2 linked regions of the Caenorhabditis elegans genome follow. The protein of the gene in region 1 purifies or fractionates together with the protein of each later gene. This does not show direct contact. Each region holds a gene or a part of one and is shown on either strand. Other genes may lie near its edges.

Region 1 (4,582 bases):
AGCTGATGATCTACCAGAATTAGCTTCTTCTTCAATAAATCCTTTATTGGAATGTTTTGAAAGTTGCTCTAATCTTTCGGCAGTTAGGCCATCTCCATTTATGATTTTAGAGCTTTGAGCACGGCTATCTGAATAAAATTAACAATAATATTCCAATGCAGAAAGCCAAAAAGATTTGTTAACATTGTATTTATTCTAGGTTTGAAATAGAAATTGTATTCAATTAAGCTACAAATCCAGCTTTTCTAATTTGCAATAACTATCATAGATTGCAGAGGCTACAAATTCGTTTCCGTTGTTTCAATTACGTCACATTTCATTATCACATTCGTATTGTTCATTCGGATAAAAAGCGGTTTTGAACAGGAAATTCCTAATTTGAACTTACTCGGCTGACACACTTTAAGATGTGGTTCTGCAGCACACAATTCGGTTTTTGAGAAAGAAAGAAAATGATCAGAAGGTCGAGCTGAAAATCAATGGTTTCGAGACTGTGGTATTGACTTTGTGAATTGGTTTGTGGTCAACTACGAAATACAATGAACAAGTTCTTCCACGTAGGCTGATACATTTCTGGATCCACTAACCATCAATTGATAATATAGTTAATAGAAGTAACAGCTGACAAAGCGGTATTGACCGCATTGTTGTTAAAAAATGATTGAATGTTGAAGAATAAAGAAACTGTTGCGCGAGAGATGCGGTCCAACTAAAGGTATGCGTTTAGCGTCTCCATTTCTTCAATGTTCTCTTCTAACTTATCATTGTTTTGTGATGAAGAAGTCAGTGTCTGTATGTGTGTGTGTGTATGTGACCATATTGTCAGCCTTTTCTCGATGTGTAACTTTTTTTTAGAAAAAGGTCTTGTCTACAAAAACTACGAGACCAAGAAAAAAAAGAAACGGTTACCACTGTCATAATTTTTTTCCTGAAGGACATAATGAAATCCATGACCAACTTCAAAAGCAGACTTCAGCAAAGTGCAATTTTCATAGAGAAACTATAGTCAAACCATCAGAAGCCGTAGTTTCCAAGATTTCCAGAGCAGTGTTAATGGGCTCAAGCTGGAACGGAGAAGCCTGTCTACTACACGTGCCTGTGTTTACTGTTGTATTCGATAAGAAATCCTAAAAGTTATCAAACCATAAAATCTTGCGATAGACTATGGTTTCTGAACTGATATCGACCGTTCGTGGAAATTTGACATAGGAGCTAAATGTTTTATGATAAACCCTGGCTTTCTCTGAGCACTTTAGAATTTGAAATTTTATATAATTCATTTTCTACAAGAATTGAACAGATCTGTAAAATTTGGCACCTGTAGCGACCAACATGACTGAGATCGTGGCGAGACCCACTCAAACTTCGCAAAATTACAGAGTTTTTCTTCGTAAGGGAACAACATAAAAATTACTAAGTTTCATAATTTCAATGAGAGTTCGAACCATTCCAAACACACGAGTTTAATTTTAGACGGGTGCAGACCATTAAAAATATTATTCTAACTGGTGGCCGAGAAATTCGCTGGCCGTTCAGCAGACGCGCCCCATTGGACATTTAAATATTTTGAGTTTCGAGAAGGATTTTCCCTCAGTTTTCTATGAATTTCTGGAGATTTCAATTCGTTTTCACATTTTGATTACCGTTTTACAATGTTAAAAATTTTCCAATTTTATATTTCTTTGTGAAATCATAAAACTCACCTTCCTCATGCACTATAGGCCATTGAATTAGGCGTTTTTTAAATCTATCATTCACACAAATGTTTATTTTAGACGTTCTTGGATTAATTGTACATTCAAACTTTCTGGGTTTTTTTTTCATGTTTCGTATTTCAGCAAGATGCTTCCAGTCCAAATTTTAAAGGACAATGCTCAAGAGGAACGAGGAGAGAGCGCTCGTCTCAGCTCATTCGTGGGTGCAATCGCCATCGGAGATCTTGTCAAGTCTACTCTTGGACCAAAGGGAATGGTAAGAGCGTTTTGATTGTTAATCAAAATTAAATATTAATTTTAGGACAAAATTCTCATCAGTGGAAACCCAGAAAGCGCAGGAGGAATCAAAGTTACCAACGATGGAGCAACGATCCTGAAGTCAATCGGTGTTGACAATCCAGCTGCTAAGGTTCTTGTTGGTAAGTGCTCATTCACTGAATTTTGTTTTTACTTTTACAAACGTTTTGCATCTTTCAGATATGTCAATGACACAGGATCACGAAGTTGGAGATGGTACTACTTCAGTAACTGTCCTGGCCGCAGAGCTCCTCAAAGAAGCCGAGAAACTTGTCAATCAACGTATTCATCCACAGACGATCATTTCTGGATATAGACGTGCTCTCGGGATTGCTCAAGAATCCTTGAAAAAGTCCAGCATTGAATCCGGAGATAATATTCGTGATGATCTTTTGAAGATTGCCCGTACTACTCTTGGATCTAAGATTCTCAGTCAACACAAAGAGCACTTTGCTCAACTCGCCGTTGATGCAGTTTTGAGACTCAAGGGATCTGGAAATTTGGATGCCATTCAAATTATCAAGAAGCTCGGAGGATCCATGAATGAATCTTATCTCGACGAGGGTTTCCTTCTCGAAAAACTCCCTGGAATGTTCCAACCAAGAAGAGTTGAGAAAGCAAAGATTCTCATTGCCAACACACCAATGGACACTGACAAAGTGAAAGTTTTCGGATCAAGAGTGAGAGTAGATGGTGTTGCCAAGGTTGCTGAACTCGAAGCTGCTGAGAAATTGAAGATGAAAGAAAAAGTTGACAAAATTCTGGCCCATAACTGTAATGTCTTCATCAACCGTCAGTTGATCTACAACTACCCAGAGCAACTTTTTGCCGATGCTAAGGTTATGGCTATTGAACACGCCGATTTTGAAGGAATCGAGAGGCTTGCTCTTGTTCTCGGAGGAGAAATTGTTTCCACATTTGATTCACCACAAACTGCTCAATTCGGATCTTGTGATCTGATTGAAGAGATTATGATTGGAGAAGATAGACTTCTTCGGTTCTCGGGAGTCAAATTGGGTGAAGCTTGCTCAGTCGTTCTTCGTGGAGCAACTCAGCAGATTCTTGATGAGTCCGAAAGATCCCTCCATGATGCCCTTTGTGTTCTCGTTACTCACGTGAAAGAATCAAAGACTGTTGCCGGAGCTGGAGCGAGCGAAATTTTGATGAGTTCAGCCATCGCCGTCGAAGCTCAAAAGGTTGCGGGTAAGGAAGCCCTTGCCGTTGAAGCCTTCGGAAGAGCCCTTGCTCAATTGCCAACCATCATTTGCGACAATGCTGGACTTGACTCGGCTGAACTTGTCACAAGACTCCGTGCAGAGCACGCCAATGGACGTCACAATATGGGAATCGGTTTGTTCATTTGGAAATCTAACCATTATACAAAATTATCTTTCAGACATCGAGAAAGGAGAGGTTGCTGATGTTACGAAATTGGGCGTTATTGAGTCTTACAATGTGAAGTTGTGCATGGTTTCTTCCGCCGCTGAAGCCACGGAACAAATTCTTCGCGTCGACGATATCATCAAGGCAGCTCCACGTGCCCGTGCTCAAGATAACCGACCATGCTAATCAAATTGTTCGCCAGACTGTTAAAAGATCTTCAACTTTATTCTCCCTTTTTCAGCTTTTAATCGAGTGCTTCAACACAATCGTATCTCGTTTTTTTTCGTCCCCTTCATTCTTATTTTTGATGGAATTTGATACACTTTCTGTTGCTTCTGCCTACCGTTTTTATATGCCCCCGTTTTCAATTTAATATTCGAGAATACCGCGTGTTTTTGCTTGTTGATTTGTTTTCCTTTTAAAATGAATGGAGTGCGATTTACAAAAGGTACAATATTTGAAATGTATTTTATTCCAGTTTTTATCTGATTTTTTATATTTCTGATTAAAGAGAAAAGAAAAAGCTTAAAAGAAAAAATTTAGAACTGCCAAAAGATGCACAGGAGTTTTCCGAGGCTTGTCCGATCGCAAGGTAACTTGTTGAAAGGAATGTTTGGAAAATCCGGGGAAAAGGAAGCAGTAAAGCAGCTGACACTGGAAGAACAGGAGAGCCTTCGCAAGACGCTTCCCAGCATCCGTGCTAGAGAATCCACACAAGTTACTGCTTCAGCTGATTCTGTCACTGAATTTGACGATGATCTGTTGACGATGAGCCGTATCGACACGGATGCCATCCGGGCCAGAGGTTTTCTCAAATACACGCAAAACTATGTTCCCGGCGTTGATGTCAAAAACCAAGTACTTGAAGCAGCGTCATCATGTCTAAGAAGTGCTGGAGTAAAGTCTGAAAACGTGGATCAGTACAAATTTGTGGAAGGAGATAACTCTGTAAAGTTCGAGTTGTTGAACAGGCTGGGAAAATCCATCGAACATTGGCCAACCAATGGAAAACTTCTTCATTTGGAAACAGTGGCAGACGTCGTCGAATTTTATCAGACGCCTGTCAAAAATGTAACAAAATATACAGAGTTAGTTTTTGTTTAAAGATGCTTATTGAATTATTAATTAAAATAAATTATAGAATGGCTCGCGATGAGAACAAACCGAAAAACGTCTCGATTATGGAG
Region 2 (3,418 bases), 650 kb from region 1:
CCAGTCGATATTCAGGAATCACGTAGGTGCTAGTGTTGAGAGTTCGTCGAGGAACAGGAATATTTTCGTCTTTCAATAAGATACTTGGTAAAGTTCCCACTGAAATACTCTGTCTGTCAAATTCATATTCGTCCATTCCTTGACAATTATTCGAGTGCTCCACACGGTTTACAATGAAGTTCTCAATTGATATTTCGTCCATACCAACATAAGAATACTCGGTAGGAAGTATAAACTCTGTGTCCCATAAATTAATACGATTTCCATGAAAGCTGGAAATATCATACTTATTTTTTTCGAGCTTAAAAATTACTTACTCAAGATTAACTCTACCAAAGTATTTAACAGTTAAATGATTCTCCATTCCTTCTTTTAAAAATTGAACTGCATGACGGCGCTTGAAGTTCGGATGAGACAACTCGCATAATTTTGTTGGTGAGGAATTTTGTAATGTGCACTTGATGTTAATTGAGTAATGAGAACTATTTTTCCCAATTCTAATCTCTCCCGTTAACTCATTCACGCCATTCAAATTTGTTCTTCTGAAACAAATAATATTGATGAATCTTGTGCCAGAGAAAACTGTCTTACGCTTTGAATGCAAAGTTGATTGAGATTCGATCCCCCCGTTTAATTCCTTTACTTAGTCGTATTTTTCCTTTTTCATTGAGAATTCGCAAATATTCCGGTGGTTTTTCATAATCTATAGTTTTAAACTGTCCTTCAATAGAAAATTGGGATGATTTGTAGCATGTTAATGTTGGTTCCGTCACACGATTTGTTAAGTCTGAAGAGTTTTGATTTTAAAATTTAGTTTCACATCTAATATTGTTCCATTTCTATAATTTTAAAGGGGCGCATATGGTCTCGACACGGAATGGTCTCGACACGCGCGGCGAATCAATTGAACGAATTTCGTGTTTACAGTATTAATTTTGCTGGCATCGATTTTTCTCTTTTCATTCCCAATTTTCTGCATTTTAAAATGAATTTTATGTATTCAATTCATGCTTACTACGCGTAATAATAGTTTTTTGTATGAGTTATAAGAAAAATCGAAGAATATTTGCCAGAAAAATTAATACAGTAATCTTAAAGGTGCACACCACATGTGTTTTAATTAATTCGCCGCGCGTGTCGAGACCATTCGGCGTAACTGCGCCCTCTTAAAAATCGTGGAAGTGGAAAACAAAATATACATTATATTATTTTTACCTGTAAAAACTGATCTTTCCGCCCAATTGTGAATGGTAGCCACGTCGGCTCCCGCTGATTCGCAAACTTTAGATGCTAAGCTAAATTTGGAGTCAAAATTTGGGACATCGAGTAGCTTAAAATAATACATTGTTAAGAATTGAAAAATTTGAGGATTCTTACCGCCCAACAAACTGGGCCACTTTTAACATTCAGCAGTTCCCAATCTTCTGTGCATACTGAAATAAATAAATATAAAATTAGAGAAGAAAGAACCTACAGAAAGCAGCGGTGAAATGTGTCAAGACTGATAAAAAGATAAGATTTCGTATATTCATTCCTTGAATAATTGGGACTGAATTGATTAAGAAACACAATAAAATGTATTTGTTGAATACATGTATACCCGTCTCTTTAGTAACTTCACGTGAATAATCCCAAAAAATTAATTTATCTTTACTTTTTGAAATTCGTTTGTCTGAAATTCTAATATGTTTAATATTTTCAGGATGTTAAACCAGTCGTTAAGACCACTAGTCAATGTACAAGTGCGATCAGTTTCTTCGAAGTATCCACGTCCAACTCCACGACATTTCAAGTTAGCATTCATGACAGAGTATTCTCAAAAATGTTATTTTTAGACGCCGTTTATTTGAAGCTGCGTTAAAACCGGAGCTCCCACCAACTGTGAACATGTGTATTCCACCGGGACTTATTAAGAGAGAACATACGGGAAAGTCGAAAGAGGTTTTGTGTTTTAGCGTTTAGAACAGTTTTTTTAAGACCCAAAATTTTCAGTATTCCGACGTAGAGCTAGCCTTGTCGAATTTGGTTCGTGATTGGATGGTAAGGGAAGAGTTTCGTGTGATGGCTGTATGCCAATTCTTACCAGTTCCTGGAAGGACTCTGTGGTTTGCAAAAAATCAATTGCGATCAAAGAATATCGAGTTCAGAAGTTACGGAAATAAGATTCTGAAAAAGATTTTTGATAGTAAGCTAATTTTGGGTGACTTTGATAATAACTTCTTAAAATTCAGAAACTCCGATGTCATCCCTGAACACAGTTCTTGTTGGAAATAACGCCATCCTTCTAGCCAAAGATATTTCTGCTATCAAATCAATTCTTCAAGAAACCGATAAACTTAATTGGATCGAACCACTTGTAATGATGGCCGATGGTAGAATTGTGGATATGGTGGATGCTCGCGAACTAGCAAAACTTTCTTCACTTGAAGATCTTCGAGCACATACAGTACAGCTTCTTGGACAACAAGTCGCGCAAGTCACAATTTCTCTGGATACAGTTACACGTCATCTCCCATCACTTTTGGATTCTCATATCTCCACAAACCAGGAAGCAAAAAAATAATAATTTCGTTTTTTTAACAGAAAAGCTAGTGTAGATTTGTTATTGAATTTTTTATTACCATAAATCCATGAAAGCTATAAAAAGAAAATACATTTAAACAAATACCCGAATAAAAACAACAAACAATATACTTATTGTACACACTACATCTAATCTAAAACTAGAAAGTACTATTGCAACAAGATTATTTGAAAAATTATATTGTTAAACTAAACTTCACAAATAAATAGCTAAATTTGTTTCGTCATTCCGACCAAACGCTTAACATTTTCATACGTGAGGAATGTGACCACAGCAGCTGGAAGTTGCCGAACATTTGCAATAAGACATCCTTTCCAAAGTCCACCGATTCCCTCGTTATGTATTGTTTTTAGTGTTGTTTTCCAAACTCCACGAGAATCTGTATTATGATCCTGCATTCTAGTACGAAGAACTTGATACGGGAATGTGATTGTTGTGGCAAGAACCTTGGAAGTTGAAGAAGCGATAACATAATCCGTCTGACTCTGAAATAAAATAAACTAATCTTGGATTCTCTCTGAAACTTACCAAAAATGAATCTTTAGGTAACCCTTGTGATTGACATCTTTTATCAATTATCCAGCTATATGCTGCGATTTGAACTGCTCCGTGTGTTGTTCCTATGACACCCGTGACGAAACCTCGATACAATCCAAAAAATCCCTCCTGTTTAACGGTTTTCTTCAAGCAATCCATCATTCCTGCATACTTTTTAGACTGTTGATTTTCATACTGAAGGCATAGTCTGAAATCCTATTCAGAACATTTAATTTGATCTCGAATCATTTTAATACCGAGTTTTTGTGAGCCAAATTGGATTAGTAATGCACATGA

Evidence for each region.
Region 2: the proteins of cct-2 (region 1) and mrpl-10 fractionate together in Caenorhabditis elegans (co-fractionation; one large-scale study listed by BioGRID). This does not show direct contact.

What each region holds. Positions count from the first base shown.
Region 1 is NC_003280.10:8,925,903-8,930,484, forward strand, and holds cct-2 (T-complex protein 1 subunit beta), read left to right. Parts: upstream 1-1,838; 5' UTR 1,839-1,842; coding exon 1,843-1,971; intron 1,972-2,016; coding exon 2,017-2,134; intron 2,135-2,192; coding exon 2,193-3,362; intron 3,363-3,408; coding exon 3,409-3,581; 3' UTR 3,582-3,913; downstream 3,914-4,582. Other genes in the region: B0457.2 (Glycine-rich protein), read right to left, coding at 1-128, 389-469, 588-645; mrpl-50 (Large ribosomal subunit protein mL50), read left to right, coding at 3,951-4,483, 4,537-4,582. UniProt on the Caenorhabditis elegans protein: Molecular chaperone; assists the folding of proteins upon ATP hydrolysis. Known to play a role, in vitro, in the folding of actin and tubulin.
Region 2 is NC_003280.10:8,276,800-8,280,217, reverse strand, and holds mrpl-10 (Large ribosomal subunit protein uL10m), read left to right. Parts: upstream 1-1,702; 5' UTR 1,703-1,703; coding exon 1,704-1,792; intron 1,793-1,835; coding exon 1,836-1,941; intron 1,942-1,992; coding exon 1,993-2,185; intron 2,186-2,231; coding exon 2,232-2,563; 3' UTR 2,564-2,691; downstream 2,692-3,418. Other genes in the region: clec-142 (C-type lectin domain-containing protein), read right to left, coding at 1-272, 318-542, 592-787, 1,216-1,330, 1,378-1,433, 1,475-1,532; slc-25A32 (Mitochondrial folate transporter/carrier), read right to left, coding at 2,794-3,069, 3,113-3,329, 3,379-3,418.